3 linked regions of the Styela clava genome follow. The main gene of each other region encodes a partner of the protein of the gene in region 3 in a complex. Links are inferred from orthologs where the notes say so. Each region holds a gene or a part of one and is shown on either strand. Other genes may lie near its edges.

Region 1 (10,503 bases), on a different chromosome or scaffold from region 3:
GTGTTCAGTAGGGTTTTGAAGGGCCATCGAATTTCCAAAAGAGGAGGTGGCCACTGGGGTCCACAATCATCAATAAATTGTGATTCCAACTTCGAGACTCTGCCTGTTCTGAAGCAAATTTGTTTCCATAGTGTTCACACTATTCACAGACACTTTAGCACAGACATGACTTTCTTTTATCCAATCATATTTTTAATTCTTCAATTTTACATGATATTTCATCTGTAGAATCTTTTACCGATAATGACTGTTCTGATTGCTCAGATTCTTGTTCCTCCAACATTAAATGTGCGGCTTTTTCCAACTCCACGAGATCAAGTTCAACTTCTTTTTTCTTGATTTTCACTTCTTTAACAGCTTTGGATAAAGATTGTATAACATCAGGTCCAGACTTTTGTATCCAAATGCAATAATCTCTTATATAGATATCATTGAGCACATAATATGGATCGCTATTTGCAAATAAGTCATGAATTTGCAATAAGCATTTTAAAATAAACTTCTTGCCGTTCGACAAAATTTTTGCAACATCCTTATGACATGCCTTTGTCAATTTCCAATTTCTATACAGAGGAAATATCAAGCATCGTCTGTACGAGTTTATTAAAGTTTTGTGAATAAGCGAATCAGTAGCACACCATGATAAAGTGGTGCTTACAGTCCTTATATTCCAAGGTGACTCCACACTGTAATCACCTTCCGTACATCTCCAATTGTAAGCATAACTGAATAAAATGTCTACAAGACCCATATAAACAGATTGCGTTTGGACTTTATCAAGAAGATATTCTATATTCGGAAAATTCTTCAAAATAAATTTATCTTTCTCACTAAAATTGATTCCATCAGCTTTAGCAGTTTTCCAAGGTGGAGTCAAATTGATTAATTCTTCAATATTTGTTTCTTCGAATAAATCAGCTAAATAATGTTCCGGATTGAATTTATCATTTTCATATTCAACTCTTTCAGAACTCCTGTTTTCTATAGACGATTGTTCTATATTTCGGATTTGTATCACATCGTGAATGTCTTCTTGAAGTTTTGAAAATACACCAGACTTCGAATTGGCAAATCCATATCCACATCCGATCAAAGATTCTGTTGGTTCATTGTTGGGAAGAAATTGAGGATAACTCCAATCAAACTGCTCATCATCTTCACCGATTCCGTCATTATCGTCATTCTCAATAACTTCAATCAATGGTTTCTTCACCTGAGAATTTTAAAGTTTTAATTTAATTAAACAGTAGGAACATAATAGCACAAAGTATAGACAGCTTTTTACTAGTGAGAAGATAAATAAAGCAATAATTACTTTCAGAAAAAGACAGACATTTAGTTGAAGATTCAATTAAATTTGAAACAAGTGCTGTGCAAAATATCAATGTGAAATGATTTGTTTTAGTTGTATTTTTGTGAATTTTAACCGCCAATGTATTTATCTGAAATTTACTAAAATTCTGATATATGATAACTTAAAATATAATAATTGCTTATTCCAGACAAGAATGATAAATCTTCATCAAATGTAAAACCTCATCTCTTGCCGAGCTAGAAATCCTGGACATATTTGGAAGTAGATACTGTAAATATTTATTGTATTTTATGAACCATAGCGCGCACTTTGAATCCATTTTTTCTCAAAAGTCGATCGTGCACAAATATTTTACCTGTCTCTCTCCTGCTGGTGTCAATAATTTGGTCAACATATCAAGATCTTCAAAATGTGTTCCAGGATCAGTTTTAGCTATTTTTAGTTTATACTCTCCATTTTCAACATCATAAACACAGCTTGCTCTGTCATCTTCAGTGAGTGAAGCAGAAAAACTGAGCCGTAAAAAGTATGGCTTTGCATGGAATCTAAAGCTTCCATCCTCTATGTAAATATCTGCTTCTGATACTTTGGAATAAGGAGCTTTAATCATGATATACAGGAATATATCATCTTGTGTGATTTCAAACAATGGCGTTATCATTATTCCAAGATATCTGTTATCTTAAATATAGATATTAAAACAATATTATTCACCAATAGGCAATAGAATTCATTAGTATTCCAGAGTTACAATATTAAAAACGTAAAAAATGATTAGCAAAATATGTGACCTTCAGCAGAACAAAAACCTGCGTATGTTGCACATTGTACTAATAGCAACCTCACATACAACCACAACATATCATAAAAATTAAAATGAAGATCAATACTACATGCTAATACAACTAGCTAGTAGCAACAAACAAAACATTTGAACATTTGAATTTAGTTATTTTCAAATAAATCAATCAAAGGGTTCGATATGAAAAAAAAAAAATTCAGTCAAATCACAATCACTTCAATAGCAATGATTCTGTCATTCCAAAAACATACAAGTGACTAGAATATACAAAGTAGAAAGCGCTATATCGGTGGCAAAGTAGCATGGAAATCAAAATCTATATTGAAATACCAATAGGGCTGCAACAAAAAAGATAAATACTGTTTCAATAAAATTGCAGTCATTCGAAATTTGAGTATTCATTGTTCATCACCATTTAGAGATGCAGACCATTGAGCAAATTGACAAAAGTATTTGTTGCTGTATCCTGGCAAACAGTCTGTGTCGATTATTGCTTAATTCATTTCAATTGAAAATGGCATAATCTTTTTGGTCCCGACTTAAAATATGAATATTTCTATTGGACATTCCAATCCAATGGCAGTCACAGCAAATGGTCAAAGGTATAACATCAAGAATCTGACATAACAGGACAGACAGAATTTGAATCATATACTAACATCACTTTCCTTATCATTATCCTGATCCCCATCAAAAAATTCATTATCGGCTTCGATCCTTTGCTCTTGTTGAGAAATAGGGTCTCGAACATCGAAATCATTGTTTTCTTCATAGTTTTCAAATGTTAAAAGATCAGGAGGGACTTCATGCATTTGAACACTGGGAGCATGAGCAATCGTTCTCAAGTTTTCCATAACAGTCTGTTTGAGAATGTCGAGATATTGTTTGGTATTTTGATTCTCAACCCTTTGACTTGTATCTGGGCGCAGGACATAATCAGGCCCAAAAAATTCAAAATATTCATTGTATGGTAATTCATCACTTATTTCTTGACCTGTTATGATTGAGGTTTCATATGTCCAGCATCTCGCAACATTTCTTACAGTATATCCTCCCCCACCAAGGAACATAAGTGGAACTCCAAACTCTTTCATAAATTTCACACTTTCTCCATGTCCGTCTATGGTTAAATTGAAACATCCTAATCTATCACATCCAAGAGAGTCTGCTCCGCATTGCATCACAATACAAGTTGGGCGATATGACTCCATCACAGCACGCATAATTGGCTTAAACAATTGATGGTATGTTTGGTCATTGATGCCATCTTTCAAAGGAACATTCAGAGAATAATACCGCCCACTTTCTGCACCACATTCATACATATCACCCGTTCCAGGAAAGAAATAATTTCCATATTTGTGGAATGAAACAGTCATGACTCGATCAGTTAGATAAAATGCCTCCTGAACACCATCACCATGATGAACATCAATATCAAGATATAAGACACGGGGATGATACTTTAAAAGTTCAAGAATTGCGATTACTATATCATTGACATAGCAGAAACCTGATGCTTCATATTTTTTCGCATGATGAAGCCCACCAGACCAATTTATCGCTATGTCACATTTGTTATTGTTCAGCATAGTTGCTGCCTGTAAAGATGCACCAGTATACATTGAGCAAAAATCATATAGTCCAGGAAAAACTGGACAATCATCGCCAACATTGAACATTTGTAAGTTTTTGGTGAAGCCTTGTAAGTTCATCGGTGTTACTCTCTGCAGAAAATTGATATACTCCTCTGAATGGAATCGGCACATATCATGTTGAGTTGCACGATATGGTTTATACATTTGCATTTTATTTTGCAGTCCATAATGCAGAACAAGACTATGTGTAAGGGCAAGCCTGTGAGGCTTCATGGGATGACCAGGTCCGTAGTGAAAATGTGATACGTCCATATCATAGAAGTATGCAACTTTGCGATCTTTGCCTTCTGAGGACATGATGGCCTCTTATGTCAGTATGTACTATGAATATTTCGCAAATATTCTATCTATATCAAGAATGTTTTTATTTAAACTTTCTATACCACTATAATTGCATGCTGTATATAGGGATATAATAACAGAATAAGGGTGAGTTTAAATCATTTTATTTATGTATTATTGATGGATAACAAAATGCCTACATTCCAGCATTGTACTGTTTGGTTGTTTAATTCAACAAGTGAAGTACTTAATACTGTAATAACATCATTCACAGAATATTTTAGACCACAAAGTGACATATAATGGTTCGAATTCAAAATTTGATGTTCAGTTGCCTTGGAAGCAGTTGAATAATAAAATTATAAAAAGAAGAATATCAAAAAATTCAAAGTTTTCATGATGCAGCGACAACAGCCGATCGCAGAGCACAATCTGGAAGTTTGTTCTAAACGAGGTGGAAATCCAGCTAGTTAAGTATAGAGCAATGACTACCGTAAATAAGAATAATATGTAGCCCAGTAAATGATTGTGTCTATCAATACAGTAGCTTAACCCAGTCTGCCAGTGGTTACATTCCAACATTTTTTTCAAGTGACCCAAGCTTTTTTGGGAATACTTTTTGTAAAATCTCATGACCCAAAAATATTTTTAAGGTTTATTTATAGTGGCATACTTGAATTATCAATAACAAAAAACAGTAATTTTTACTTCACATTTATTCAACAGGAAATCTTTTTAAGTCAGTAAGGTCAGATTGCTGCACTAAATGAGAACGCTTGTTTGTCATGGCTGCATGGGCAAGTCTTTGAAATTGACATTACTCAAGTGGGTTCAATTTGAATATAAAATAAACAATAAAATCTACTAGAAAATAAAATCAATAACTTTCAAATTGTTGTTAAAAGAACAATCATAGGTCTGACGGACAACTCGACTACACGGACAACTCACCAGAGACAACTCGACTACCTAGAGGCCTGGTGAGTTGTCAGTCTTTTGGCATTTTCTACGGTGGTGTTTTAGGTCTATAGAAATGCGTTCTTGATATTTTTAGTGCTCAAATGTTGAGAAAAATAGATAAATATGCTCTAGAAAGCATTTTTATTTGTATAAGTGCATTTTTATTGTCTCTGGTGAGTTGTCTGTGTAGTCGAGTTGTCCGCCTCCCGTCTGTAGCCCTGTCTGCCTGTAGGCCAGTCTGGATGTCATGGCCTTTTTGAACGAGAAATCGGGCGTGCAATCAGAAATGCCTGCGTGCAAATAAGAATTCCTGGCATGCAATTATAGCTCACAGCGTGCAAAACAACTGCGCCCGCGTGCAACTGACTTTGACATTAGATACCTCTCAATACATCCGCGTAAAATTACTGGTATCGGATAAAAAATACGTTGAATCAGAGCAAAAATGAACGTTTGACCTTTGACCCCAAACATTATTTCTACAGTTTGTCGCTAAATTTGAGAGTGTTTGTGCGACTTTGGATACCGGTACTGTTCAGTACATCCGCGTAAAATTATTGGATAAAAAAATACATTGAACCAGAGCAAAATTGACTTACTTTGTCATTAATTTTGGGAGTGTTTTTACGTAGAATTAATGGATAAAAAATACGTCAAATTAGAGCAAAATGGACGCTTGACCTTTGACCTCAAACATCATTTTTATACTTCGTCACTAATTTTGAAAGTGTTTGTGCGACTTTAGATACCAGTACTGTTCAGTACATTCGTGTAAAATTATTGTATGAAAAATACGATGAATCAGAGCCGTACCTGGCCAGCGTTGGTGCTGAGGCGATCTTTTCGTCCATAACTATTCTCACAGGATTCCTATTATTCAACACGATATGGTCTTTTTTGCTTCGCAATTTTTCGATCAGACCAAATCTTGCAAGCTAGTATTAGTCGACAATGGTGGAGTTATAATATTTTGGCATCTTTATATTGCTGGAATGATTGATTTTAAAACCATTTAAACTGATTTACATTGGTGAGCAATCGCAAATTTTCGGCATGCAAAATTGAATTCGCTCGCGTGCATTTTTGCGGAGGGCTAGCGCCTTTGGGCGTGCACCTGCCATGGAATCCAGTCTGGCCTCTAGGTTTGAGAACACTGCCCTGACCCCTGAAGATTCTGTCAACTGTCAGCTTCGGGACTGTAGGATCCTATTCATCTACAGATCTAAAACACATTCTGTACTGGTAGGCTTTGATTGAGGCAATTTGGAATTACTGAAATATTAGACTAGAACTTTAAACAAAAGAGAGAGAGAGAGAGAGAGAGAGAGTTTATTAACAATGAACATATTAAAATATTAAAAATTAAAATATTAACAATAAAAATATTAACAATTTCCAGAGAAAAGTTGATACAGTAATAAATGCATTTCTTTATCAAATGTAACTAACGTTAAGTTACATCCAAACAAAAGACAGAAAGAAATTGCTAACACTGATGTAATTGTGTGCGAGTAGATTGCTGGACTTATCGGCTCTCGCGCCGTACCGGTACCTACCGCAGGCCGTAGGGTACCGGTAGCGCCCACGTACCGGTACGGTACCGGTACCCGCTGACCCGTCACTACCGTAACCCATCATCGGTAGTCTACCGGTTCAACCATCAATTCCCTACATTAATACAGTAATAACTGGCTTAATAACCCTATACAGCTATACGGTACTCTACATTGATTTGGCAACCGAACGAGAGGTTATGGTTCAACCGTAAATAAATACGAATACATGGGGTTTAATCGTGGCTGCCCTATACTTATAGCTGGGCATCAGCTTTCCTAATATTTAATTTATTTGACCAGAAAAAATGTACATACAAAAAATATTTAAGCATTAAAAACAGGTTTATGTACAATCCACTCTACATTAGAGTTTGACACATACAGACATACGGGGTTTTGTATTCGCACGTTGGGCATCGGTGGGTATAGTCGGCCAACGGTTTTATCATACTAGGTGCAAGACTCTCTATAAGTATTTAACATTGGCAGAATCATATAGGGAGTAGGATTTCCTAATATACCGGTACACGATCGCCGTTCGTATTTAACGTCTTTCATAGTTTTGAAATAAGACTAGGGGGCTTTAAAGACGGAGTTTTACAGAAGTGAGGCTTGAAGGGTCCCGGTGTGAAAGAGGTTAAACGTCTCGTCCATAAATCAACCTGGGGGTCTTCTCGAGGATTGTTTATAGGTTTTCCGCTTATATACAGATATACTAGCGGAATTGTTGTATTCTAACGCTTGTGGTATTTTCCAAAATCTATCGATTCCGAAATATGCGGTCGGGATCGAGGCGGATTCCCCTGAAGCTAGCTTAATTGATTATAAAATTTAACTTAACCCCAATTGCCCTACAACTAGCGAGTTACATATATTACCTCTATCGCGCTACCGTACTATCTTTCAGCTCTACGGCTGACGGACAACTCGACTACACGGACAACTCACCAGAGACAACTCGACTACCTGGAGACCTGGTGAGTTGTCCGTCTTTTCGCATTTTCTACGATGGTGTTTTAGGTCTATAGAAAAGCGTTTTTGATGTTTTTAGTGCTCAAATGTCGGGAAAAATACATAAATATTCTCTAGAAAGCATTTTTATTTGTATAAGTGGCTTATTTTAATCATGTTGTATGAATACAAATACAGTCTACAGACGAAATTGGAGTAACGTTAGCGAAGTTAGACTGTTGACTTATAGGACTGTTTTCGTTTAATTTTATGAACTTTATTGGTATTAAATGTTTTGAATGAGCACATTTGAATATATTAAAACCTTTATACTTCACAGTAACACTTAAATATTTATGAATGTGAGCTTAGTAGTCTGTGATTGCAGTAGTCTAAACTCGCCTACGGCAGTCGCCCGTCAACTCACCAGCAAACGCTCTGCGACGTGACGTCATCGATGCTCGAGGTAAAGACAACTCGACTACCGAGCAACGAGAGGCAGACAACTCACTAGTCGAGCAATCGCTCTGCGATATAGATGCTCGAGGTGAAGACAACTCGACTACCGAGCAACCTCACTAGTCGAGCAATCGCTGTGCGATATCGATGCTCGGGGAGAAGACATTGCTTTGCAAAACGCAGACTCAATAGTTGCATAGCATTTACTTAGTGCCGACTGATATTAGTTGTAAGCCAACTCACCACGGCAAGGTTTCAGTCATAGAGTTGGAATTTCTTTTTGCAGAAGAAAACCAGGAACAGATAGGCACTGTCGCTGCGCCTGGCAAAGAAACTGGGCCGAAGAATGGATAAATTTAATATGATATTTGAATACTAAACGTTATGGGGAAATTTAATGGATGGAAGGTTTTGTTTTCTTTTTCGTTACGAATATTGAATTTTATTTGAATACTAAACGTTATGGGAAATTTGCTGCTTTACATACTTACTCTTTGCAATACTGCGGCCCGTAGATCCTTGAACACCTCCGAAGAAGAGAGTCCACAGATAACTCTCCTTCCTTAAACTGTTCCCAAACATGTTGCACCCTCTCGTTGGCTTCCGCATACCTGCCGTTGACACGCCCCACAACATTCTCTTCCAAAATATCCACAACGTCCGCCTCTATCCCTATACTTACCTCGTACATTGTTGAGATTAAACTGTAAAAAGGCATATTTTTCCGAGTTATACTGTTGAAATGGCGGTGCCAACCTTCCAGATGATTGTTGGTTCTTATTTCTACGTCGAATACTGACCAATCCTTGGGAGTCCAGACACTGTTGTATAACCATGTGTTTTGAAAATATTCGGCGAAGTTCTTGAGATCTTGAGTATGCATCTTTTCTTTCAGTGATTTGAACCTGGACGTGATAAACATAGCAGGTATATAGCACAGCGCCATGACATGCTTTATCAGGTCTCTTGTCCCAGCGTCCCTAAAACAAAATAAAACATGTTAAAACAAAAGAAGTGGAAGAAGTACAAAGACATATATATAAATATGGTTAACCACTCACTTGTTGTATAGGCGAGCCAAATTATTGTGGCGCACATTCTTCATGATGGCCTGAGTGAAGTGAAAAGAGCATCCCTGCTTTTCGACGTCCGGCCATACTGAAGAAAGTGCTTGCCACGTTGCGGCTTCGAAGTCCAGTACGAATCTCTTCACACGTGCACCGGAAAACGAAAGGGTGAGTAGGTTGTTAATTACATTGAAGATGTGGACGTAGTCAATTTTCCTGCGCCGGGACATAAGGACAAAAACAAACGGAATTTGTTTCGAGCATTCGCCGCTCCTGATGAATGCATGGATAGAAAAAAGTTGATAAAATGGGTCTTTAACCACGTCGAACGTCCCATCCATATACCAGCTTTTTGACTTCGACAGGAGTGAAAGTTGTTTTCTTGTTGAGAAGATTATGTGACGTGCACCGTTTACTATAGCGTCGTGTTTTATTTTGTTTTAGGGACGCTGGGACAAGAGACCTGATAAAGCATGTCATGGCGCTGTGCTATATACCTGCTATGTTTATCACGTCCAGGTTCAAATCACTGAAAGAAAAGATGCATACTCAAGATCTCAAGAACTTCGCCGAATATTTTCAAAACACATGGTTATACAACAGTGTCTGGACTCCCAAGGATTGGTCAGTATTCGACGTAGAAATAAGAACCAACAATCATCTGGAAGGTTGGCACCGCCATTTCAACAGTATAACTCGGAAAAATATGCCTTTTTACAGTTTAATCTCAACAATGTACGAGGTAAGTATAGGGATAGAGGTGGACGTTGTGGATATTTTGGAAGAGAATGTTGTGGGGCGTGTCAACGGCAGGTATGCGGAAGCCAACGAGAGGGTGCAACATGTTTGGGAACAGTTTAAGGAAGGAGAGTTATCTGTGGACTCTCTTCTTCGGAGGTGTTCAAGGATCTACGGGCCGCAGTATTGCAAAGAGTAAGTATGTAAAGCAGCAAATTTCCCATAACGTTTAGTATTCAAATAAAATTCAATATTCGTAACGAAAAAGAAAACAAAACCTTCCATCCATTAAATTTCCCCATAACGTTTAGTATTCAAATATCATATTAAATTTATCCATTCTTCGGCCCAGTTTCTTTGCCAGGCGCAGCGACAGTGCCTATCTGTTCCTGGTTTTCTTCTGCAAAAAGAAATTCCAACTCTATGACTGAAACCTTGCCGTGGTGAGTTGGCTTACAACTAATATCAGTCGGCACTAAGTAAATGCTATGCAACTATTGAGTCTGCGTTTTGCAAAGCAATGTCTTCTCCCCGAGCATCGATATCGCACAGCGATTGCTCGACTAGTGAGGTTGCTCGGTAGTCGAGTTGTCTTTACCTCGAGCATCTATATCGCAGAGCGATTGCTCGACTAGTGAGTTGTCTGCCTCTCGTTGCTCGGTAGTCGAGTTGTCTTTACCTCGAGCATCGATGACGTCACGTCGCAGAGCGTTTG
Region 2 (11,315 bases), on a different chromosome or scaffold from region 3:
ACCTGTGGCTCCACAAGGATCAAACTTTATGCAGCAGAGACCCCATTCTGCACATACGCCAACTCAGGTAAGATAAGAATTAGTTGTTCATTGAACCTAATTTATCCACATAGATTATACCAGTGGTTTCCAACAACCCGAATTTTTAAAAAATTAATTGTAAAATCTTGCGACCCCTGGATATGCTCAAATACTAAACGGCATGTAGTGCTTTCATGGCCACAAAATTAATTGACTTGTATAAAACAATCATTTTTATGTGACATTTATTTTCCCAGAAATTTCCTCAAAATGAGGAAGCTGTGCTCATTTGCCATCAGCGAGTTTTTGATATTGTGTGGCATAGCTTTAGGCCTACTTAAGCAAAAAAAACTGAACGCTGCCAAGCCTTTACTCGTTGATACTTCTGTAATATACAATTACTATTGAGCAAAACATTAATACCAAATATAAATTAATAAATCAAATTTACTACAAAGGATTTTATTGAGAAAAATAAGCGACCCATTATCTTGAATTTTTTTTTTTTTTTGAGGTAATATCACAACTGTATTACCGTAACAAATAGATTAACCCATTTCAAATCCTTATGCCTGTCAGGGGAAAAATTTAAATTAAAAGGATTCTACAAATCCTGTAGTTAATGTTGGTGACTTCTAAAAAAATATCTGCCTTTGCTTTTGCATAGGTTACACACGTCACAGCTTCAAGTCCTGCAACCCAATCCACACAGCAAACCCAGCAACCTACAGGTCATCCGGCTATGGTTCCTGCACATGGAGTTCAACAGGGGGGCGGACCAGTATGGATGCCAATTAACGCAAAGTATGTTTTAAAAATCACCATTACGGTGTTTGAGTCATTGGCGCATCTTCTTCCAGCTATAGATGAACTGAGTCCCTTTGAGTATATTGAGCATAAATGAATCTGGTCATAGTGCGAGTCAACTCTCAAGATGAGTGGCTTTTCCTGGCTTCCTGGTCATTTCATAAATTTTGAATGTTTTCCCCGAAATTTCCTTTCATTCAACTCAAAAAAGAAGGCTTGAGAGTTAGTTGTGGGCCGCACACGACATTCCAGAATATTTGACCCTTTGTCAGGAAACATTAAGTATTCTCATGCCAAATCACTCATGCACCTACTCAATGTAAATTTATACTGTGTTATTTTAAACCACATTGGGCCTAGTCTCATACAATACACCTAGCTGTATGTATTATAATGTTTGAATTCATACAAATGAACGACTTTAACTGAATTATAACGGTATGAATATGATACAGATATAAAGTTACAGGTGATGTTATTTTCTAGTTCAAATATAATGATGGTGCCAAGCGGCCAACCTCAACCAATGCAAATGAATCAACCACCGCAACATACCCACTACTTGAGTGCTATGCCAGCAGGACAGATTCCTTCATCAGTTGCAATGTCCAATCCTGTGCAACAAAAAGGACAACAACAACAAATCCCAGCTGGACACTATATGGCTCAAACCCCGCAGAGATCATGTAAGATTTTTTTTTCTAATATGTAATATATTGACTCGCCTGCATAGTTTTTTTGCTTACCTATCATCTTCTAAAAATATTGAAAATCATAGTTACAGAGTGCAACAAAAATCAGTCGGGTAAAAATAAAGGAGATACTTGGCAGATAATATGAAAAACATATAGATCCTAATAAAACCTAATATGCTAAATATGGAAGGAGACAAGGAAGCGTGTGGGATGGTTAAAGCAACAACACATTATATCGCCGCAGTAGTTATTTCACAATTTTCAGAAATTTACTTTTTGGATCGAGGCTATTTGTATGGTTTCAAAGTTGTGCCTGTTAAAGTTTTGATTTTAGGTATTGCCTTACGTCCATTGTTAGGTTTGGCTGTGAAGATCTGTAATTTACAAAAATGCAATTTGCCCAAAACCCCGAAATGTGACATAATACCTGTTGTGGCCATCATTATTATAGGAACTTTTGTGTAACAGAAATGCTTACGCCTTCACCTAATTGTCGAACTTTTAAATTAGGCTTCATTGAATTATATTTTTATTCTTCTTCAGATGGACAATATCAATCACCTTCTGCAAACAATCAGTGAACAAGAATATTTGAACATTGAATAAATTTTAAGGTCAACCATAAGTAGCAAATGGGGAACTTCTTAACGATAGATCTATGTCTATGTGTGTGTGTGTGTGTGTTTATTTACTTTAAACTTATTTACTATTTTTCGTCATTTTTTTTGTTTATTATTGGTGCTGTGATGGAACGATTACCTTGATATGGTTTTTCTTGAGTGCCCCGCCATCTCTACAGACTGTCTCTATGTCGAGTTAGCTGGCTGAACTTTTTTCATGATCGTACCACAGGGCTGATTTTACAAATTTAATCGCAACCAGCTGGTTGGCCATAACCAAATACTGGTCTATTTCGAATACATTCTAAATTCCTCCAAATAAATTTTATTCACATTTCTAAAATTCAAGGACATAGGAATTGAGCTTCAATAATATTCTCATAGCGAATCATCTATAAATACAAATGGCATGTGTGATATCACTAAAATTAGTGCTTTTCTTGCTTCCAGGAAAAAAGAATTCGTAAACATTACAGTTTTTTTACTTATAAATTGTGACTTATCTTGGCAACCACAGAAAACATCAACTAAACGCCCAGTGAAATGTTTGAAATCCTACAATATAATCGAAGTCCTTAACAACACACACATATTTTGACACGGCTAATTTTTGTTATAAACTGTTTATCATCATGTGAGTATAATTTGGCCCATCGACATCGGAGGTTACTTGTTCCTGAGTGAAATGTAAAAAACTTTTCGTCTCATTCATACATATTTTTGCATTTGAGTAAGCAGCATGATAATGGGGCAAGTCTGAATTTGTGGTTATCTTCTGCTGTGTATGATCATTGTTAAGCATTATGAGGTTTCTTATTTCATATCTATTGACATAAAAATTAAAGATGAACATTTTTAATTTTAATATTTAGCTTCGAAACCATTGGACAAGGGTATACTGCTATAATTTGTTTTAACCCTTCATAAAAATAAGTTTTCTTGCAAGTCTCATTCAATCTCTCTATCAGCTTCGATCCACTGTATTACTGATTCGGTGCCCAAGGTGGTGGTCGTTTTATGCTAGGTTAAATGTTTTAAAATTGTGCTGTTATTAACATTGTTTTGTAAATCATCTTTGAATTTTGTGTTAATTCATAAGCGGGATAAAAATGACATATTACTTAAAAATATTCAAACTGAAAAAGGAGTAGATAGAATATCACCATTAAATCACTGACAAATATTTCCCTAATACATAATTACAAATCAGAAATACAATCTTTTTCGCTGTAACTAGCGTTTTATTTGAAAAAAAAAATCAAATTGAATAGACACTGTCTAAAAAATTGTTGGGGTTATATTCAATGCTCAATAAACTCATGACTATCAATTTATTATCATTATGCTATTCAATAGTGTCTTCATTCAAGTCTCAAAGATTGTCTACAACAAGTAATGCCAAGCTCAAGAGCTGGGGTTCCCTATATTCTTATTCCTATTTATTTCCTATATACCTACTTTTTGAAACATTTTGTATGTCATTACTGCATAATTCTCTAGGTATAAAAGTACAAATTCATCTTAATTTAGAAACCCTACTTCCAGACAAAATAGTGAATAAAATCGTGATTAATGAAGATCCAAATTCACCGAAACAGGCTATTTTAAATGTTTTGTGCCTTTTATGAATGTATGTTGCGTTTCTTTTTCTCTGTTGCTGTTATTATTATTATTTACTCTTATTCATTTATGTCGCTTTTAATCAATTTCTCTGACTCTCAAGCTGTGTTATCTTGTGATACTCATCCATTTTGCTGCTAAGCACATGTTGTTAGCTTGAGAGTTAATGTTTTTAATAATGTTTTGTTTCATGTGTCATTTGTGTGCTCCTGGTTGGCCAAACACAGAGATATCATACTCATAAAGAATATATCAATATAATCAAATCTGGTTTACATGCAAAAGTATTCCTATTAGGAAATATGATATATTATAAAACGAATTTTCTGTAAAAAACGTTACACAAGCTCACCAAATAACTTATCCTAAATTCATATTGCGCAATAATGCTAAACTGTCTTTGGATTTAGGTGGGATTTTTCATAGTTGTATACTTATAATCGTAGCTTTGATTTTTGGAGTTCACTCTCATTTATACCCAAACAGGCAAGTTTCACTTATCGAGAATAACACTGTTACTCGAACTCAATTTTTTTTTGATATATGGTCAATCGTGGGCACTGGATTCATCTGCTACTTCCATATTACTTATAATCAACACATTGAAGTAAATCACTCATTTGGATCACACTATCTCGATTGATTTATACAACTATAATTAGTTTATGGTCCAGATTTCATAAATGAAGCATTGCTCTATAAAAAAAACACTGAATTATATGGATTCATGTGAAAACCGAGCATTTTTTCCACAACATAATCATCTGTAAGGTCATGTTTTGAGTAGTCATGTAGTCAACACATAAAAATTACTTCAGATCAAACAAACCAATTTCAATGAAACCTACTTGGTTGTATTTTTGCAACTTATTGGACAAATTTTTTGTAGGTCTACAAATAATATCTCAGAGCTATTTTTTATATTAACGAATAAGTTAACTCAATTTTCGGCATAATTTGAGAGCCTTCCCCGGGTTGAATAGGACAGTTTTACGTTTTGTCCTTGTTGATTGTGTAGTCACTACTTCAATCTTGTTCAGTTGTTATTGTTTGCGGATTTTTGGTTTACCACCCTTGTTAACATTTTCAGTTTATATTTAAAACTGAAAATCATCAAGTGTTTTCTTGTGATCTTATGATTTATTTATTCTATTTTGCTTTATTGTATTTTTCATTGATTTTCTTCAATTTTAAATAGGATTTTTAGGATATTTTACTCATTGAATCACTTTTGCTAGCTGCGAGCTGGTTGATATATACAAGGATATATCCATGTCTTAAGTATTTTGAATATTTAAGTCTCACCCATTTTCCTTGCATAGAAAATTTATTCCTTGTCAAGTATGAGCAATAGATAAGTACAATTTCACATACTTTCCAATAATAGACACATGACCGGATCTTTTTATACAAATAACATATAATTTCTGGCCTCAAGTTAAAATCTGAACAGTCCATCCAACTTTTCAAAATAAATGCCAATAACAATAATGCAGCATGTGCTTGAACATTATAAGTCTTAATTATAGGTCATTCGCATTGGGCAGACATTGAACACAAGTTCGCCTGCAACAGAAATTGCATCCATAATTATACAGGTCATAACGATTATGTTTGCTCAAACCTCTGCCAAATGCATTTCTCTTGCCTACTTAATTAAGCTGATTGTAGGTAATATCATCTGTGATATGTTTCGGTAAAATATGGATAACAATCGTTTCATCTAGTGTCGGATTTTTAGTTGAAAAAATCCTGTCTACAAAAACTGAATAAACACATTGTAAAATTAATCCTGTCTGACTCGAGTTGTTGAAAAGTTATATTAGTGGGTGTGGCACGACGAGAGGCGTGGTTCGTCATGATTATGCAGCCTTATCGTCTTTCCACGCGAAAAAGATGTAAATTCTATATCCCTCTCTTTGCTTTAAAACAAACTAAGATCAGAGAATTTGTGAATTATGAAACTAGGAGCGGAACAAGTGCTAAAAAACAGTTGTAAGTTGCTTATAAAGTTCTAGTTCGATTTCTGAATACTGATGGTGGCATGGTGATATTGAAAAATGCAACGCAGCAATTGCTGCACATATTTTAGAATATTTATATACAGTAGTTGTAGCTGTTGCCGTGTGTTGGCAGGGCAATTTAGTTTTATTGGATGCTATGAGTGACCCAGAGTTAACATATGCAAAATTCGTTACGTCACGCCTACTGGTACCTACTTGTGGTACTATACTTGACACGCATATTGGGCATTCTTTTAGCCAAATGATGCTGCTAAGTACACACACGCTCGCTTATTAATGAAAGAGCACGAGTTAGAAACTCATTTCATATTCAATAGTAGTTACGAGCTATTCTCTTTGGTTAGCCCTGAAGCTTGGGTGAGTGAAATTGCGAGAAGCGCGTTACGAGGCAAAATTGATCAAGTTCGTCCGCCCAAATTAGAAAAGGGACTTTCCCGGGGATGGACACCCTTCTCGTTTCGCAACTAGTCAACAGGTTCCCGAAATCGTCTATTCCGCTTGAAGTTGGATGGAATAGTGAAAACACTTGGTTCAGAGCAGAGCTACATATTCAGTTTATCCGTATATACACAGTTAATTCTGCAAGTAAAAATTTTGAAAGGAAACCAGGTTGAAATTGCATTCCAAAATTGATCTGAAAGTGAAACAAATACGGACTGGCTAACTATGCATATGTCGGTACCGGTACCACACCCGACAATGGCTGGTAACCGGACCAAAGGGACAATTATATAAATCCTATCCTAACTCATTTCACCACATTACTTCATTACCTGCTGCTCAATCATTAGCAAATGCTCCACACACTGACACAGGTCAAAATTCTCTGATTGTTTTAATTATCTGGTCTTTATTTTTGTTGATTAATCTTCAAGTCGTGTATCAGTATACATCAGTACAACCAGTACATCAAATACATCTAATATCGAATGATAATCAGGTATTTGATTCATTATGTTTAACATTTATTGTATGCTGCATTGGTCCACGATCAGACTATAGCACTGCTAATTACAGTAAGTAAGTTTATTTCAATTTTCTGTTCCAACAAAACAAAGAAGCAATACATAGCAAAACAAACAAATAGCCCATGACTGCATGAGCTCTTTATTTCGTGATCCCAAGTAACTGAATACTGGAATAAGGAAATGTGGCACAAACTGACTTTATCGAATACTTTATCAGGAAATATAAGTGTCATATCTAAATGATATACCTGTAAACAGTCACCTAAATCTGGAAATAATAAAGTTGCAAGTCTCTGTGTCAACAGAAGTATAAGTCGTCATGTCAGATGTTTTCATTCCTCGTGGTTATGTTTCAAAAACATTCTGGCCTGTTGAAAAGTCATCTATACCTTCTGAAAACTTGGATGAACCTGACCTAACTGAAATTGTAAGTACCTCAGTGTAATGACAGTATATTTTTATTCTCTGACAGACTGGTTATTTTCTGTGTTTACAATCTTTATAATGTTATGCTTCAAACTATCTCAATCGAGTTGCATTGATGTACAATGTTTACTTACAGTTCAAAAACCTAACTAGTGTAGAAGGGCTCACAGAAATTTTTCATAATCAATCATACATTTATACCTACTAATTTTTTCAATATGAGTGAAATCTAAAGCCAATTTATCAAATTTGAATAAATTAATGCTAGTCAATTCATGTTGGGACCAGGCATCTTTCAGGAAAAAATCGTAAATTTCTACTTTTTTAGGTTTAGATAAATTTTCCGAAAAATATATCAATTTCAACCAAGTCAATTATATCTTTTTTTAATACCAGCAACCGTTCAGCGTGTATCATCTTGATCATCCCCATGTTATAAGAAAACGATCCGGACATTTTGGTGCTTCACCGCGGTGTCGTGCAAGTGCTACCGATTCTTTGGATCTCACTAGAAAAGTTTTACAGCCAGCAATCAACTATGATGTTGTGGAAGTGTTTAAGAAGTATATTTCGGTGTGCTATACATTTATTTTTTTAATCTCATTTTAAAATTTAAATGAGAAGATTAAGTTGTCAAATACAGTTGTCAGTTGTGATAAATTTTCATTGCCAAATATGATTTAACATACTGTTGGGCCATTTTCCCACAATTTGAATCAGTGGTAAACTGGGGGTCGTGAACAAATTTTTTGTGGCCGTGGAAGATTTTACTTTTGATGCCTAAATTAAAAATTGCTCATCAAATTATTATCGCCTGCATACGGATTTTTGTTGTAACATTGACTGTCGTATGGCCTTTGTTTTGTAGTTGTAACTAGCATAAGTGAAAGCACATGTCAGTTTAATATTGTTTACTTGCCGAACATGCCTACCGTTAGTTGTAATTATCAATTTGTTTATTTCGATTTTAAAATTCGGTATCAAAATGTTTGCGAAACGTAGGAAAGTTGTTGGGTCAAGCATTTTAAAGTGCTTGATTGGAAGACTATTTCCTCGTTGAGAATTATTCAAAACCTGTCTGTTTGATATGTCAAATCAAGTTATAAAGGAATTAAATGTCACCTCTTTCAATCATGCCAGGTTTTTCGGGATGCGACAGAAAATATAGTGTCAAACATGCACACTGAGCCATTTACCTCATGTGCAACTTCTGATGAACTCAATGTTGAGAATATGGTAGGAATATTTACCTTTTTTATAATTGTCCATTAATTCGTTTCGTATAATAATTTTTTATTCAAGGTCTATATCAGTGAGACGGGATCATTTAATTTCTTTGTGGAAAAACTATCTAGTTTTTTTATTGCACAATTTATTATCCGATATACTCAAATCTGAGCTTTTTGATACAAATATTGGCTTTTTATTCAATATGTTGTAAGACTAAACTTAAGATAACTTCTGAAAACCAGCAATGCAGTTGATAAGTACCAGCAGAAACATGAATTTTTCTTCCAATATAAACACAGTACATGAGCGATTCATAGAATTAATTCAGGTAGGGGGGATCATATCATATTCTATGCTGTATAATACTGAAATTTACGAACCCAATTTTTCTTCTTAGGTTTTTAAAGCTTGTTCTGATGCTCTTGAACATTGCAAATCATTATTTGACACCAGGACTCCTGTGAATCAACCAAAAAGTAAAATTGCTAAAATCCAGAATGCAGGTTCTGGAAAAGGGCAACAACAGACATCTATAGGTAATTACAATGTCATTTTATATTATCACAGCTTTCGTTAATGGTGGGCTTTAACACTGGTTCTAAATCTTTAAAATCAATCAAACAAAAAAAAATCATTATTTTGTCCTAAAATTAGTTAGTGTCAAAAAAGATTTTTCGCACAGGTAAGTGGAGTCAAATGTAAGAAGAGTAAGTATGGCTACTTCTGACAATATTGGGTACCGCGACCCCCATTGATCACTTTTAAGACCCACCAGGGGGGTTTGGGATCCAATTTGAAGAGCCATGGTCTAAACTATTGTTTTATAAATTAAATTATTTTAGCGTCATCACTACCTGGATGGATGGTTATGAAGAGAGTGCCAAGTCCAGATTTTCCTTGGACAAAGGTAAAATTTAAAATTATATTTATTCTAATTTACTTACATTTTAAAACTATTTACTCATTCTTTGATCATCACATTCGAGTAATTGGAATAGTTTTGATGGCTGATGACTGAATTTTCCAACTAAATGTAAAGCATATCTGCATATGCAAATAATAGTGACAATTTTGATGACCTTCCATCGTTGAGGTATTTGTCACTGAAGCTTTCTAGCATATTAGAACAGAAACTTTCAATGTCATTCATCTAATGTTTCTATTGTGTTTATGCTAAAAAGCAATGTATTTTTGTCAACCATCCACCATATTAATAACTAATGCGAAATAGATATTGTTTTGTAATTTTTCCTATATACGATAGCTAAACTGTCATGTTGTTTAGACAAAAATAGGTGATATGTTAATTAGTGTATACAAAAAGTACTGAACGTTTATTTAATTAAATGCTGGCCGGCTCAACATGGCATTGAAAGTGATTGAATATTTGCATTGTTGGAAAACAAGCATATTACATATTTAACTTTCCTCTTTACAGGGTGGACCAAACAAATGTTTTTGCCCACCCTGTATCATTCAATACATTTTGAAATGAATAGAAATTTATAAAATTTCAGAGACTTGCAAAACACTCGCCAAGAAGATCACTCTCTCCAACTCCCAGATCAGCAGTGAGTAATTTAGGCAATTTTATTAACATACTGTGATATCACAATGACATGGGAAAGGGGGTTTAGCGAAAATGGTATAAAATTCACTTTTTGCTATAATGAACAACATTTTCCAAAAATCTCTATTTTATATCTGTGTAATGAAAAAATTGATCTGTTTGAATTATGGAATCAAATTTTTGTTACATATCTTTTATAACCCAATGTTATCTTTCTTCAAATCTACTTGAAAGATCCCATATTTTCTGAATCTATGAAACCTAAGAAATTTTTTAAAGGGTTGCCTCAAATGAACTAAATGTGTATATTTTTATGGTGACAGAATAAGTTTTTGTAAATATATTACATTTAGAAAAGAGGCAAGGCAACTCCAAGAAGATATGGAAGCCCTCAACAGGGTGGAAGAGAACCACTTAGTCGTGATAATGTAAGTCATTTGATTCTGTCATGTTTAGGATAAGATTCACCGATACATATTTATCCTGGGAGAGAGGAGCGATTGACAAGACCAATCAAATGGCGAACCATAGCCTCTCGTCCAGTTACCAGTTCATGTTGGGTATGGGATTAGTTAGTCAGTTTTTTGTTTTAGATGCATGGACTTAGTGGAGAATGCCGTAACCGGCCAGCGGTTACGTGAACCACCCTACGGCGGCGAGGAGTGCAACAATCCTTTCATAATTATCCTCCACGAAATTTGAACTTTCGATTGTGTTTGCATCTGAGGACATGTAACTTATACACGTTTGTGTTTTAAAGTGGGATCCAGATAAGCTGAATACTGATACCAAGTTCATAATGGGAACAAGAGCAAACAAGTAAGTTTTGCCTAAATTAATTACATTTTTAAACTTTGGGGGAAATTTTAATGTTTAGATCTATTAAATTTTTGTTTACCAGTTTTTTTTCTGATCAACATTTTAGAATCTCTAAAATATTACAAATTATTTGTAGAAAAATGTTTGCATTTACTCGTACCCCTGACATATCTGTAACTGTATCTTGATAAAATTTTTCATTTCAGAGCGTTAGGACTTGGAGCAACCAGAGGTAGAATTTATATGAAGCATCCAGAATTATTCAAGGTATAACTGAATCATAAATCTCATAATTGATGATATTTTCGGAAATATAAGTTCATATAAATTAAGTGTCGTATAAATCCAATTTTCTTCATGCCTTTTGGCATTATGTATTATTCATTCCAAAAATTTACCAGCGTAGATGTGGAAAGAAATATGTTGCATCAAACCATCAATCTTTTTTACATCTACAAACTATCATACTGATATACAACCATATTTTCAATAACCAGTTTTTCGTTTTGCAACAT
Region 3 (11,449 bases):
CCAGCAAAACCTGTAGCCAATTCATCTTGGCTATCTAGTATAGTTGCAACATTAAAATCTGTCAGATGGGCATGACCTTTGTCATCAAGTAAAATATTATCAGGTTTGATGTCTCTGTAAAGTGAAGAACAATAATTTTAAGAAAAATCAGGATATATAAACAGATCAATAATTTTATTCAAGTAATTGAACAACTTTATATAAAAACTTCAAGAAAATGAAATGCCAAAAGTTCTGATGACCTGTTGCCTTATCTTAATAGCATGTGAATTACAACCTGTTGAAAAGGACGCAAAATTTGAATTGTAAATGCCTGTAATTGTAATGCGTTGGCAGCTCAGAAAATTTTATATTAAAGCAAATTTAACTCATAAAATATTTTATTTGTAATGTCTTAATGCTGTTGTTTTAACTTCAGTATCCTCCCAGCAAAATATAATGATCTGAACAGTGAACAAACAGATGAGCACTGAACAATCAAACCCAGAAAATTTTTTTACCAATTTTACTTCAATTTCTATAATTAGTCTCTCATTTACGCTTATAATATCAAATACATGAGAATAACATCTGATATTAAACTAATAAAAATATATCATTATCATGATTCACTCGACTTACAAATTATCATATCGAATTATTTGAATAAAAAATCCGAAGAAAACACAAGAATTACATGCCAAAACAATACTAACCTGTGTATAATGCATTTGGATTTCAAATAGTCAAGAACAGATGCCATTTCCAGAATATATAACCGAACGTCATCTTCAGTGAATAATACATGTTTGGACAGATGATACCGTAAATCTCCACCAAGCAGTAAATCAACAACAATAAAGAAATCTTCCTCATCCTGATATTAGTAGAAAAACAAAAATTCAGAATATTACACATTTCATTAAAACGAAGCAATAGGACAACTGGCAGGAATGTCCCAATGATAACATATCTATACATTAAGTAGCTTAAAAAAATGTTATAATTTAATAATTATAATTACTAATTCAACTTTGGGGTGGCCATGTAGAAATGGCTAGCTAGTATGACCGTAACACTAAAAAATTACGGTAATACAATTTGTGTGCATGGTGGAGAATATACAAAAGAGAATTTTTGATAGAAAAAAACATAGAATCTAATAATAATACAATTTTATAACTTTGGATGATAATGTTGATGATATATATTCAATTTATAAAAAGAAAACAAAATAGAAACTAGAAAATGCGGGTCTTCTGGGCTATAAATAGTTTGGGTAAATAATACTCGAAATTGATCTTCTTTAAATGCTCACCTGAAATGTATACCAAAGATTAACAATAAAGTCATGTTTGAGTAAACAAAGCATAGAAATCTCTCGTTTTACATTTTCAACAAAATTTTGTTTGATGCATGACACTTTATTTAGATATTTCATAGCAAATAATCTTCCATTGCTTTGTTTTTGCACCATGCATACTTTGCCAAAACTCCCTTTTCCAATTGATCGCAAAATTTTGAAGCTGTTGAAATTAACTATAAAAAGAAAAGGTATGAAATTATGATGGAAGTTATGAAATCAATGAAAAAATTAAATGAAGGAACTAGGTAGGCCTATGCTAAAAATCATGATTATTTATTCACAGGGATACATAAAATTAATGGAATATAGCAAATGAAATGCTACTGATTTTAAAACGCCAACAGTTTCAATATCTATTCGAGGAATTTATATCGAAATTGTTGAAATATTTTTGAATAGGAAGCCAATTTTGTGCTGTAATAACTGCGTACTATACCTATATTTTCCTTATAATGAAACTAGAAACAATAAAAATTGTGACAGATTACCTGATTTATCAGAATTTGAATCCGGGCCATCTGCTTCACCATCAAGCCTATTTTGACTATTTCCCATATCTCATGTCACAGTTGTATTGTCAGAGTTCAAAAATCAGAAGATAACAGCAGAACTTCTTAATCAAGTTTTATAACAATTCACAATCTACCATGAATCAAACTTTCATTCTACATAGCCCACAAAATCACAGTACCCTTGAGCCTTCATACATGCTGTTGCAATCACAAGCGCCTAATCAATTAATCAAACATGGTATGCATCACTATTCATGGCAACAGATAACGTTTAGCTTTAAAAATAATGAATAAAAGTAATAAAGCATGACCATAGTAAACATACATACAGTATATTCATAGTTATATTGATAAGAGGAAGTAACAATACAATATTCTATATTACTCGCAAATACAAATCAAATTCACTATTACTGTTATTAACTGGGCATATAAATTACTGATGATGCTAAAGCATAAAGCACAACCTAATTATTGAATTAGTTATTGAAATTACCACAAAATCAAAAATAGATTTCCACTGTATCCAAGAATTAATTAATGGTTACAGACAATCAGTAAAACTAGAAACCACTGAATATATATATATACAAAGGTACGATGTATTTAAACAAATATGTCAATAAACTCATAAAAGAAATTTCCAAAAACTTGATGCCACACAAGGTCAGGGATTGCCAAGAACCGAATGAATCCACTATTCCAAATGCATTCTAGAACGATATTTTCGAACATAGAACAACGATTATATTATGAATTGGGTCATGTTCAATGAAAAATACATAGAGCAATCAGTAAACATTCAAAGGGTTCGGATCAGGAAATGCAGGTAAATTTAGATATAAAGTGATTTGACTGGTTTTGTATTTCTTACAAATTTCAGAGATGAATCATCAACTTTAATTATCGGCACTCAAAATAATTATTTTTCAAATTGAGTAGGCCTACTGGAATAATTCTTGAAAAAAATCTTTGAATGTAAATAATTTCAATTTGTTTCGAACATGAGCTGTTATAATCTTATTTTCGATTCAACCAAAATAATAACGTAAAGAAAAAGATAAATGCATCAGAAGCCTCATCTGAATTTGGAATAAAGTAAAATGTAAGATTAGTGAAGCAAACTTCTAAACGTCAAAATTCTACTATTCAAGATGGGCTTTGTTAAAAATAACCAAAAGAATCATGCCAAAAATTGAAAAAAAAACTTCTCACTATATACATCAATAAGGATGTTTCATTGGCAATGTCTGAATTAATGAAAAACGATTAATTTGTACAAGAATTAAATGTGTAAATATCAATGGCGTCTATGAAAGTCTCGTCTTTCATGTCCCTTTTCTCGATTTCTTGCTTTCTCATATTTATCATCATGAGAGTATTTTTGTGATCGATCGTGCCTTGATGAAGATTCATCTTTAGGATGAATTTTCTTATTGTAATCTTTAGATTTTCTCTCTTTTGGCAGGTCATCATCAGATTCTGAATGCCTTTTAGATTTTTTTTTCTTTTTTGGAGAGTCATCCTCTGATTCTGATGAATCATTCTTTTTGGAACGCTCTTTTCTTTTCAACTTTTGCTGCTTTTTGGACTTCTTTTCATTGTCACTTTCTGAATCAGACTCTGCTGAGGAGCTGTGTTTACTTTTTTTATTCCTTCCTGATTTCTTCTTTTTCTTCTTCTTTTCCATGCGATTCAGCCTTCTTAATAATTTCATTTTCTGTTTGTCAGAAAGATTTTTTAAAAATGCAACTTCCGGCTCATCTTCTTCATGTTTGACAATATCATGCTTTTGATCCTTTATTTCAAAATGATTTTGCATTATTTGTGGTTTTAATTTAAGACCAGAAGTGGACTGCATTGCACCAGCCGCAGCTGATGGATCCATCATTGTCATGCTAGGATCAAAAGAAGATGTTTTATTATACAGAGGACATTCTCGATCTGTGTTAATATGCCCCCATTGGTGACATTTTATGCATCTCACATTACGAACACATACTCCGAAAGGCTGGTCGTTTAGCGTCTGTTTGTCATCTTTCATCCATTTTTCACGAGGTGCGTTCCTTTGCCATTCAAATTTGTATTCCGTTGTGTCCTCTTCTTCTTTTTTCTTTTGTAATCCGGGAGGCGCATCATACATGAAACTCAATCCCAGTTTAGCCTTGCTGTCTCCCATTAATACCCTAGTTTCATGCATATCTTGTTCTTTTCTGTATTGTTCCATCATTTCCTCCTGTTTCCTCTTTTCGTGGTCAAGTTTTTGTTGTCTCATCCATACTCTTTTGATGTTGTCTCTTGATGCTGGATGAAAATCCTTCTTGCACATATAATTATTAAATGATTTCCCCATTTTGCTTGTTTCAGAGAGACGTAAAAACTAATAAAATTTAATTAGTACAATATCTGAACAAATATGAGAAAAGTAAAAGGTTAACAGGGCGGTTAGGTTTTGGCTTTAAAAATTTAGCCATCAGTCAGTCTATGGCAGTTGGCTAAACAAACAGAACTGCAGAACAAGACTTGCCAGAAAGGAAACATAAACAAATAGAATCAATCGAACCTCTGAACCTCGATAGCTGTTTCTCTTTTCCAGTTTTCAGATTTCAATGTCAGAATGTTGATTTGCTCTAACAGTCTAAATCTCATAGTACCGGTACGTAATAAAAAAAATCCTAAGTTTATCACAGATAACTACACAAGAATGGTGCAGTTCCCACTTAAAGATTCTCGCACCTCAGTTCTTACAGACTTAACGACACTAATGCCCGTTCAGACGTTACCCGTTACCGATACAGGCTTACGAATACGATGCCTGCTGGTACTGCGATAGGGATACGAAATGCAAGTGTTCCGATCAATTTTGTTCGAAAATGTTCTGGTATCATCTTTTGAACACTTATGACGTCATGTGATCAAGGTTTAGTAAATTCTGAAATTCCGTTGCCAGACGACTCACTCAAAAGCTTCTACACAAAAATCTTAAATGTGCTCGACTTCGGAATTGTTTGATTCATCTATCTCAGGCATTTAAAGCGTCTATACTAAATGTCAAAACAAATTTGTTCTTGTTCTTGGCTCCGACCTTTGCCCCCAAAATCAAGAGTATTTTTAGTGAGTTAGCGCTTACAAATTGGTTTTAAAAAGAATTCGAGATAGTTTTATATTTTTTACCATGCAGAGGTAATCAAATGTTTAGATTTACGGAATTTCCTCGCCGTTTCACGGTGAAATGCCATCTTGTCAATGGCCAGTCGCATCGTGGCGATGTACAGGTATCATTCATCAAATTTGATACGTAGGGTACCATACCGCACGGCGCACGGTACCGGTACCGTACTTGGCAAATGTCATGTACAGATTTAAGAATGTAGTCCGCTATGTTGAGACTATGCAAACCTTTATTTTGTGAACTTACCATCTTTTTCAAAGTGGTTATAGCCTAGTAAGATATCCAGAACCGCAATGTCTGAATGTGGTTTCGCGAAAATGTAATTGTGGAGAAATACATCAATTTTCCTCAGTGTTGTGTGTATAAGAAAAGATATTTAATATGGTCTTTTGTCACTCTATATCTTTCTAATATAACTATTGTGCAATATCTTCAAAAAATACTTATTGCTTGATTACCGTACATAAGCGATGCAATATGCTTACATTGATTTCAGTTTGAAGCTGTAAAATACTCAAATCTAGCTGTATAACAGTAAAATGGGAGCAAAGAGACAAAAGAACAATCCTAAACGGGAGAAAAATAATCAAAAAAAGACCAAACTGCTATCAAATAATATTATTGCAACAGCAGTGGGATTATTTTCTTGTATTGCGGGTTTCTATATTGTGTATTTTTCAAATCCGCACCAAAACAAGGTGGTGACAATAGAAGACATTGGTGGGAGCTATAATATTACATGTTCAGAGGATTATAAAGAACATCCCATTTTTACTGAATGCACTCCAATTAAAACTTGCGGACGTTTTGTCCGGGATAATATTGTGAGTGATGAGGAAGTTGAGCAGTTACTAGCTCTTGCAAAACGAGGTTTTGCACATGGTGGGTCTGATGGTGGAGCATCAATTCTTGATTTACATTCTGGGGCTTTGTCTATGGGTGAACGTTTTGTCAATATTTATAAGTTTTTAGAAAATGATGCTCTTTTGGAAACATTTAGAGATGAAGACTTTGAATTATACAACGATGTTAAATCCAGAGTTCACAAGACAATTTCAGAAGAATTCGGAATCGATCCTTCAAAATTATATTTAACGCATCCAACCTTTTTCTCGTCAATCACCAATACTTCAGCAAAAACTCAGCATGATGAATATTGGCATAAGCATATAGATAAAATTCAATATGGATCGTTTGATTATACATCGCTGCTATATCTAACTAGTTATAAAAAAGATTTCGAAGGTGGAAGATTCATTTTCGATGATGCAAATAGTGTTATCATTGAACCCAAACGCGGAAGATTATCCTTTTTTACCTCCGGATCAGAGAACCCACACCACGTCGAAAAAGTGACATCAGGTGTGAGATATGCAATCACAATTTCTTTCACTTGTGATCCAAAGAAGTCAATAAAAGACCCTAAGATCAGAACATGATACAGCTTCTTAGCTTGATCTTGCTCCAAGCAACAACTAAAAAAAATGCAATAAAGGGAAAATTGTCTGAATTGTTTCCAATTTGCCAAATGCGCTCTTCAAAAAAAATAAAGCTGGCTAGTACTTTTTGTGGAGCTTATGAGTACTTTCTAACTTAATCGGGTCTAATGTAGTGCCGAACCTCAAGTACTCCTAGTGGACGTAGCATAACAATTTTTGCACATGTCAATACTAACCCCAACCTGACTGCGTCAAATAAGGCCCTTCAAACTGTCATCCAAGATGCGCAGATGATCACCCGAAATTGAGCAAACCATTTCTCTCGTCTCAACGATCTCGATATTAGAGAGATTGCTGCCGTTAGTGAGTTCTGTATCGTCGGCATACTTTGGCAACCTCTGTCGGTCAGGTGGGGGTTAGTATTGATTGACATGTGAAAAAAATCTTTCTGCTACACCCAGTAGAAGAAGTTCTTGAGGTACGAAACTGCAGGAATACCCCTTGAATTGAATTGTATGCGTTTGGTGGATAATTCGCTGACAATTGGGTGAACCCACACGGCATATAATAAAATTACAACAGTGTACACAGAAAAACCTTTTTATTGCAACAGTGTTTTAAAATGCACAGAAGCTTTGATCAATTTGTTGCCTGTCATTACTGTTAATTGAAAATCATTAGTATTGTTGCTGTAACTTTAAATTAGTCTCTAATAAAAAGTCCTAGGCTAGCCACACCCAGCTTGCATATAATTATGAAACAAGCACTATTTCAATGAAACGCTGCTATAAAAACGCAATAAAACACCACAATCATTTTTGCCAATCTACTATTTCCAACACAGGGCTTTTAAAACTAATCTGAAGTGACGCTTGGCAACTGCCTGGAATGTTTAATGCCGGAGGAAATAAAATTGGAACAAAAGTATGGGACATTGTGCTTAAGAGGAAAGATACAGACAGAGAATGTGTACATGGTTACACATAGAGCAATGTGACATGTCAGGCATGGGAATTTCAGACACATTTTAAAAAAAAAAAAAAATGAAATCACCAACACTAGACTTATGTTATAAAATATTAGTAAAATCAGTTTCCAGTTTTATCTTAGTTGCGCTTGGTGTCTCCAGTCTAGAGCCATAAACATTCAAACTATAAAGCAGGTCTCATTTGAATGGGAAGAACGGATTAATCGAAGGAAAAAATACATGATAATCTTCGACCCCTTATACACATAGATTTATCGAAGCTTTATAATTGTTTGCCGAGCATGGCATTTCAGATCGTAGTCAAATCTGCTAAAATGAAGTCCTTCAATTGACAAATATATATGTCCCGGGCTAAATTTCATCATTCACCGCAAGCAAGCGGTTTTGCCATAATGGCGTTCATGGGAAACATGGTCAAAGAAAGCCCAACTAGTTAGACCCTATCTAGATAAACATGGCTTTCAATAGGCCGGCAGTGGCGCAAATAAATACATCAGAAGTGCAGTCACAACACAGTGGAATATGTACATAAGGAACAAAAAAATCTGAAATATATGCACCGCAGTAAAATGTTCCATAAATATGCAATACAGTGATCATCATAATTATGTCGTCAGTCTCGATTTGATTCATTGTTTACAGTGGCCTAATTGGAACAGTATGCTCTGCATAGACTCCTGAGTAATCATCAAAGTCATCCTGAAAATATAAAATAACAATTTATATGACTTTATACAATAAGCACCTACACAATTACGTACAATAAAGCTAGCGATGAGATTGGGTATAGGATTGTTTGCTGCAGATATAGCCAGTTGCTAGTAAATACAAAGAGGCCATTGAATTAACTGCATCAGAAGTTCTATGCGTAATGAATTTACTTTATATTATTATGGTGTATTGAATTGGGTAGGGATGCTGAACCAGGAAGATTCTGGTCCTTCCAAACTACGATAGGTAAACCTAAACCTAGGTAAACATACATAGTTTTAAACTTATATAACACAGGCTAGAGCTAAGATCTGGAGCCCGACCCGATATTTCGGGTCGGACCTATATTGTTAATCATTACGTTCGGGCCGGGCCTAAAATGTCAAACATTGCGTTCAGGTTGGGTCGGGCCTGAAAAGTCAATAATTACGTTCGGGTCGGGCTTATATATCGCTGGATTTTTCATAAATAAATAGATGTTTATTAGAAACTATTTTTCAGAGTGGTTCCGATTTCATAAATATTAAATTTTGAAATTTAAAGTTTCGTAGTTCTTTGGATGATGATGCTTATTCATTGCTTTTTAACGGCATACCTCGTTTAATTTAATGTGCCGCACAAGTGGAATGCAGCGGGACATTTGACACACGTTTTTGAATGCCTCTTGATGATAATATGTGTGTCGCTAGGGAATTTCTTAGTTTGCCCAGTAAAACCTTTAGCTACCCTCTATCTATTAGCCCCGCATTGTCAAATGAATGTGCAGATTATAGAGCTCACAAAAAAAGAAATATGTCCCAGCATTCCCCTATTCTGTACTAAACTCTTGCAATGACAATTCGAAGAACTAAATAAAATATGAAATTTCGGGCCTGCAAAGCCGGTTAGTTAGTGGGTCGGGCCTGCAAATCCCTTTAATTAGTCGGGCCTGCAAATTCAGTTAATTAGTCGGGCTAGGGTCGGGTTTTATTACTCACGGGGTCGGGTCGGGCCTGCAAATCCAGTTAATTAGTCGGGCTAGGGTCGGGTTTTATTACTCACGGGCCCGGGTCGGGCCTGCAAATCCAGTTAATTAGTCGGGCTAGGGTCGGGTTTTATTACTCACGGGCCCGGGTCAGGTCGAGCCTGCAAATCCAGTTAATTAGTCGGGCTCGGGTCGGGTTTAATACCCACGGGCCGGGCTGGAATTTGTTAGCCCGATCTTACCTCTAACACAGGCAATCAAAACAGACAAGTTCCCATGCATCACAATTATATTGAGGAAGTATACACTGTGATTAACATCTATCATGTTATGACAACAAAAATTAGTACGCTGAATAAATCAGGAAGCTGCAAATAGATGGGTCATATACCAATATTGGTAGTCAAACTATTTCCCTTTAGATGTCTATATATATGATTCATGGCATGCAATGATTGCATTATTTGTGTTCTTATCTATTACAATAGGAAATCATGTTAAATATCATAACTTACCATTGGCATCTCATGCAGGCGACTAAAACGGAATGTCTTGATATTCTTAAATATTTTGATTGCAACAGCAATAACAACGATTAAAACTAGACCACAACCTAAAGCAACGACTGTAGCAAGAACAGGTGATAAGCCTTTTGAAGCTGCAAAATAAAGATAAAAATTGAAAAAAATATAAGACGTGACATTCTTATTCAAGAGTGTTCACATAGTGTATAATTTAATTAAGTAATTATCGAAAGCTTAAAAATTGGATGACACATTCTCCTTATGAACATTTCCAAAGCCACAAATAGTTTAGCAATTATTTTGGACTAGAGCAGCGGTTCCAAACCGCGGCCCGCGGGCCAAATCCGGCCCGCATAACAATTAAAAATGGCCCGTCAAGCCTAAGTGAAATAGTGTTCAACAGACTTTGTTTCTACTTTTTGTGATCTATAGACACTGCCAATTGTTATGTCCTTATTACAGTTTATGCACACCGGTCTCTCAATTATACGTATTAGGTATTGGGATAACATAGGGCAGTAATTCAGATATCAACCATATAAGAAAGCTTGAGATGTCAAATAACAAACATAAACTATACTCTGGAAACAGATTTTATTTAAATCTTAAATAAAGAAATGGCAGCGTTCGTATTTCTGTATTGGAAAGAATCAAACTTCAGCGATTTGTCTTCTTTGTCAGCAAACCATCCCAATTCTGAAGGAATACGTCATGAAGCACCACTATGAGTTAACAAACATATTTCAAAAAATGTCATGACTAAATCATAGTGCACTACGCTCTTCCGGCCCGCGAACACCCTTCCAATTCTAATTTTGGCCCGCGGCCAATAAAGTTTGGGAACCCCTGGATTAGAGTATTCTTAATTTTACTTCATTCGCCAAAATCACGAGATAATATAAAAAGTATAAATACTTGGTTTAGATCCAGTCAACGTTCCATTCACCGTGCCATTGTGTGTTCCATTTACCGTACTACTTGTGAGTTGTTGTGGAGAAGTCACTTCTGCAAGATGAATGATAAGGTCGTATAGTAATTGAATACAAGTTATGCCTTTGAGTTACCAACTTTTTTTTCGGAGAAACCCATACCCTGGTTCTTATGGTATGCTAATATAATTAACGCAGACTGACAGTGGACTAAATAAATTGTGAAGAATAGATACAAGCTAAGACAATGGTTATTCAGTTCTATCAAAATTCTCTGCTCAGTGGACATATATTATATAAGCTTGAATATATTGGGTGGTTTGCTCCCAATTGGGTGCAAATATACCTAAAGCCAATTTTTAACGTGTGAGCAAAGTTTTTGAATTACAAACCAAATATTTGGAGCTCCATAAGTATGTGCACCAAGATGGCGCACATCCTGAACATAGTGTGTGTACCAGGTTAGGGTTCAGGTTGTATGCCATATCTTTTTATGGTGCTCCCAAAGTATGCGAACCAAGATGGCGGACATCGGAACGTAACATGGGTAACAGGTTAGGGTTAGGCGATAATTTTTTTCCAATTTTCCTTATTTTAGTCCTATTATCAGTTCGAAGACTAGCCAAGAGCCTCCCGTAGTATTTATACCTAAAATTATGGCCTAACCCTAACCTAGTACACATATTACATTCCGATGTCCGCCATCTTGGTTCGCATACTTCGGGAGCCCCCTTTTTATATTTAATCGGCGGGCCATGTAAGGGTTGTAGCCACATTGCCTGGGCCGGATTTAGCCCAAGGGTAGTAGTTTACCAATGTCTGCAATTATCATAGAATATGCCATAGAACATGCCAAATATAAACC

What was found.
Region 1: corepressor interacting with RBPJ 1-like (region 3) and histone deacetylase 3-like share a complex: the UniProt entries of both Homo sapiens proteins name them as parts of the notch corepressor complex. The link is inferred for Styela clava from reciprocal best matches to the Homo sapiens genes CIRSR and HDAC3.
Region 2: corepressor interacting with RBPJ 1-like (region 3) and deoxynucleotidyltransferase terminal-interacting protein 1-like share a complex: the UniProt entries of both Homo sapiens proteins name them as parts of the histone deacetylase complex. The link is inferred for Styela clava from reciprocal best matches to the Homo sapiens genes CIRSR and DNTTIP1.

The regions. Positions count from the first base shown.
Region 1 is NC_135260.1:13,914,975-13,925,477, reverse strand, and holds histone deacetylase 3-like, read right to left. Parts: upstream 4,175-10,503; 5' UTR 4,073-4,174; coding exon 2,765-4,072; 3' UTR 2,626-2,764; downstream 1-2,625. Other genes in the region: protein SHQ1 homolog, read right to left, coding at 185-1,213, 1,671-1,976. UniProt on the Homo sapiens protein: Histone deacetylase that catalyzes the deacetylation of lysine residues on the N-terminal part of the core histones (H2A, H2B, H3 and H4), and some other non-histone substrates.
Region 2 is NC_135252.1:15,503,469-15,514,783, forward strand, and holds the start of deoxynucleotidyltransferase terminal-interacting protein 1-like, read left to right. Parts: upstream 1-6,578; 5' UTR 6,579-6,727; intron 6,728-7,060; 5' UTR 7,061-7,074; coding exon 7,075-7,182; intron 7,183-7,577; coding exon 7,578-7,754; intron 7,755-8,321; coding exon 8,322-8,417; intron 8,418-8,808; coding exon 8,809-8,947; intron 8,948-9,253; coding exon 9,254-9,318; intron 9,319-9,928; coding exon 9,929-9,982; intron 9,983-10,334; coding exon 10,335-10,409; intron 10,410-10,741; coding exon 10,742-10,800; intron 10,801-11,006; coding exon 11,007-11,067; intron 11,068-11,315. Other genes in the region: uncharacterized protein LOC120343555, read left to right, coding at 1-67, 689-825, 1,315-1,514, 2,067-2,104. UniProt on the Homo sapiens protein: Increases DNTT terminal deoxynucleotidyltransferase activity (in vitro). Also acts as a transcriptional regulator, binding to the consensus sequence 5'-GNTGCATG-3' following an AT-tract.
Region 3 is NC_135258.1:13,377,536-13,388,984, reverse strand, and holds corepressor interacting with RBPJ 1-like, read right to left. Parts: upstream 4,283-11,449; 5' UTR 4,211-4,282; coding exon 3,158-4,210; 3' UTR 2,135-3,157; downstream 1-2,134. Other genes in the region: serine/threonine-protein kinase 32B-like, read right to left, coding at 1-114, 696-856, 1,298-1,518, 1,834-1,900; 2-oxoglutarate and iron-dependent oxygenase domain-containing protein 3-like, read left to right, coding at 5,569-6,468; uncharacterized protein LOC120338680, read right to left, coding at 8,093-8,155, 9,647-9,789, 10,571-10,660. UniProt on the Homo sapiens protein: May modulate splice site selection during alternative splicing of pre-mRNAs. Regulates transcription and acts as corepressor for RBPJ. Recruits RBPJ to the Sin3-histone deacetylase complex (HDAC). Required for RBPJ-mediated repression of transcription.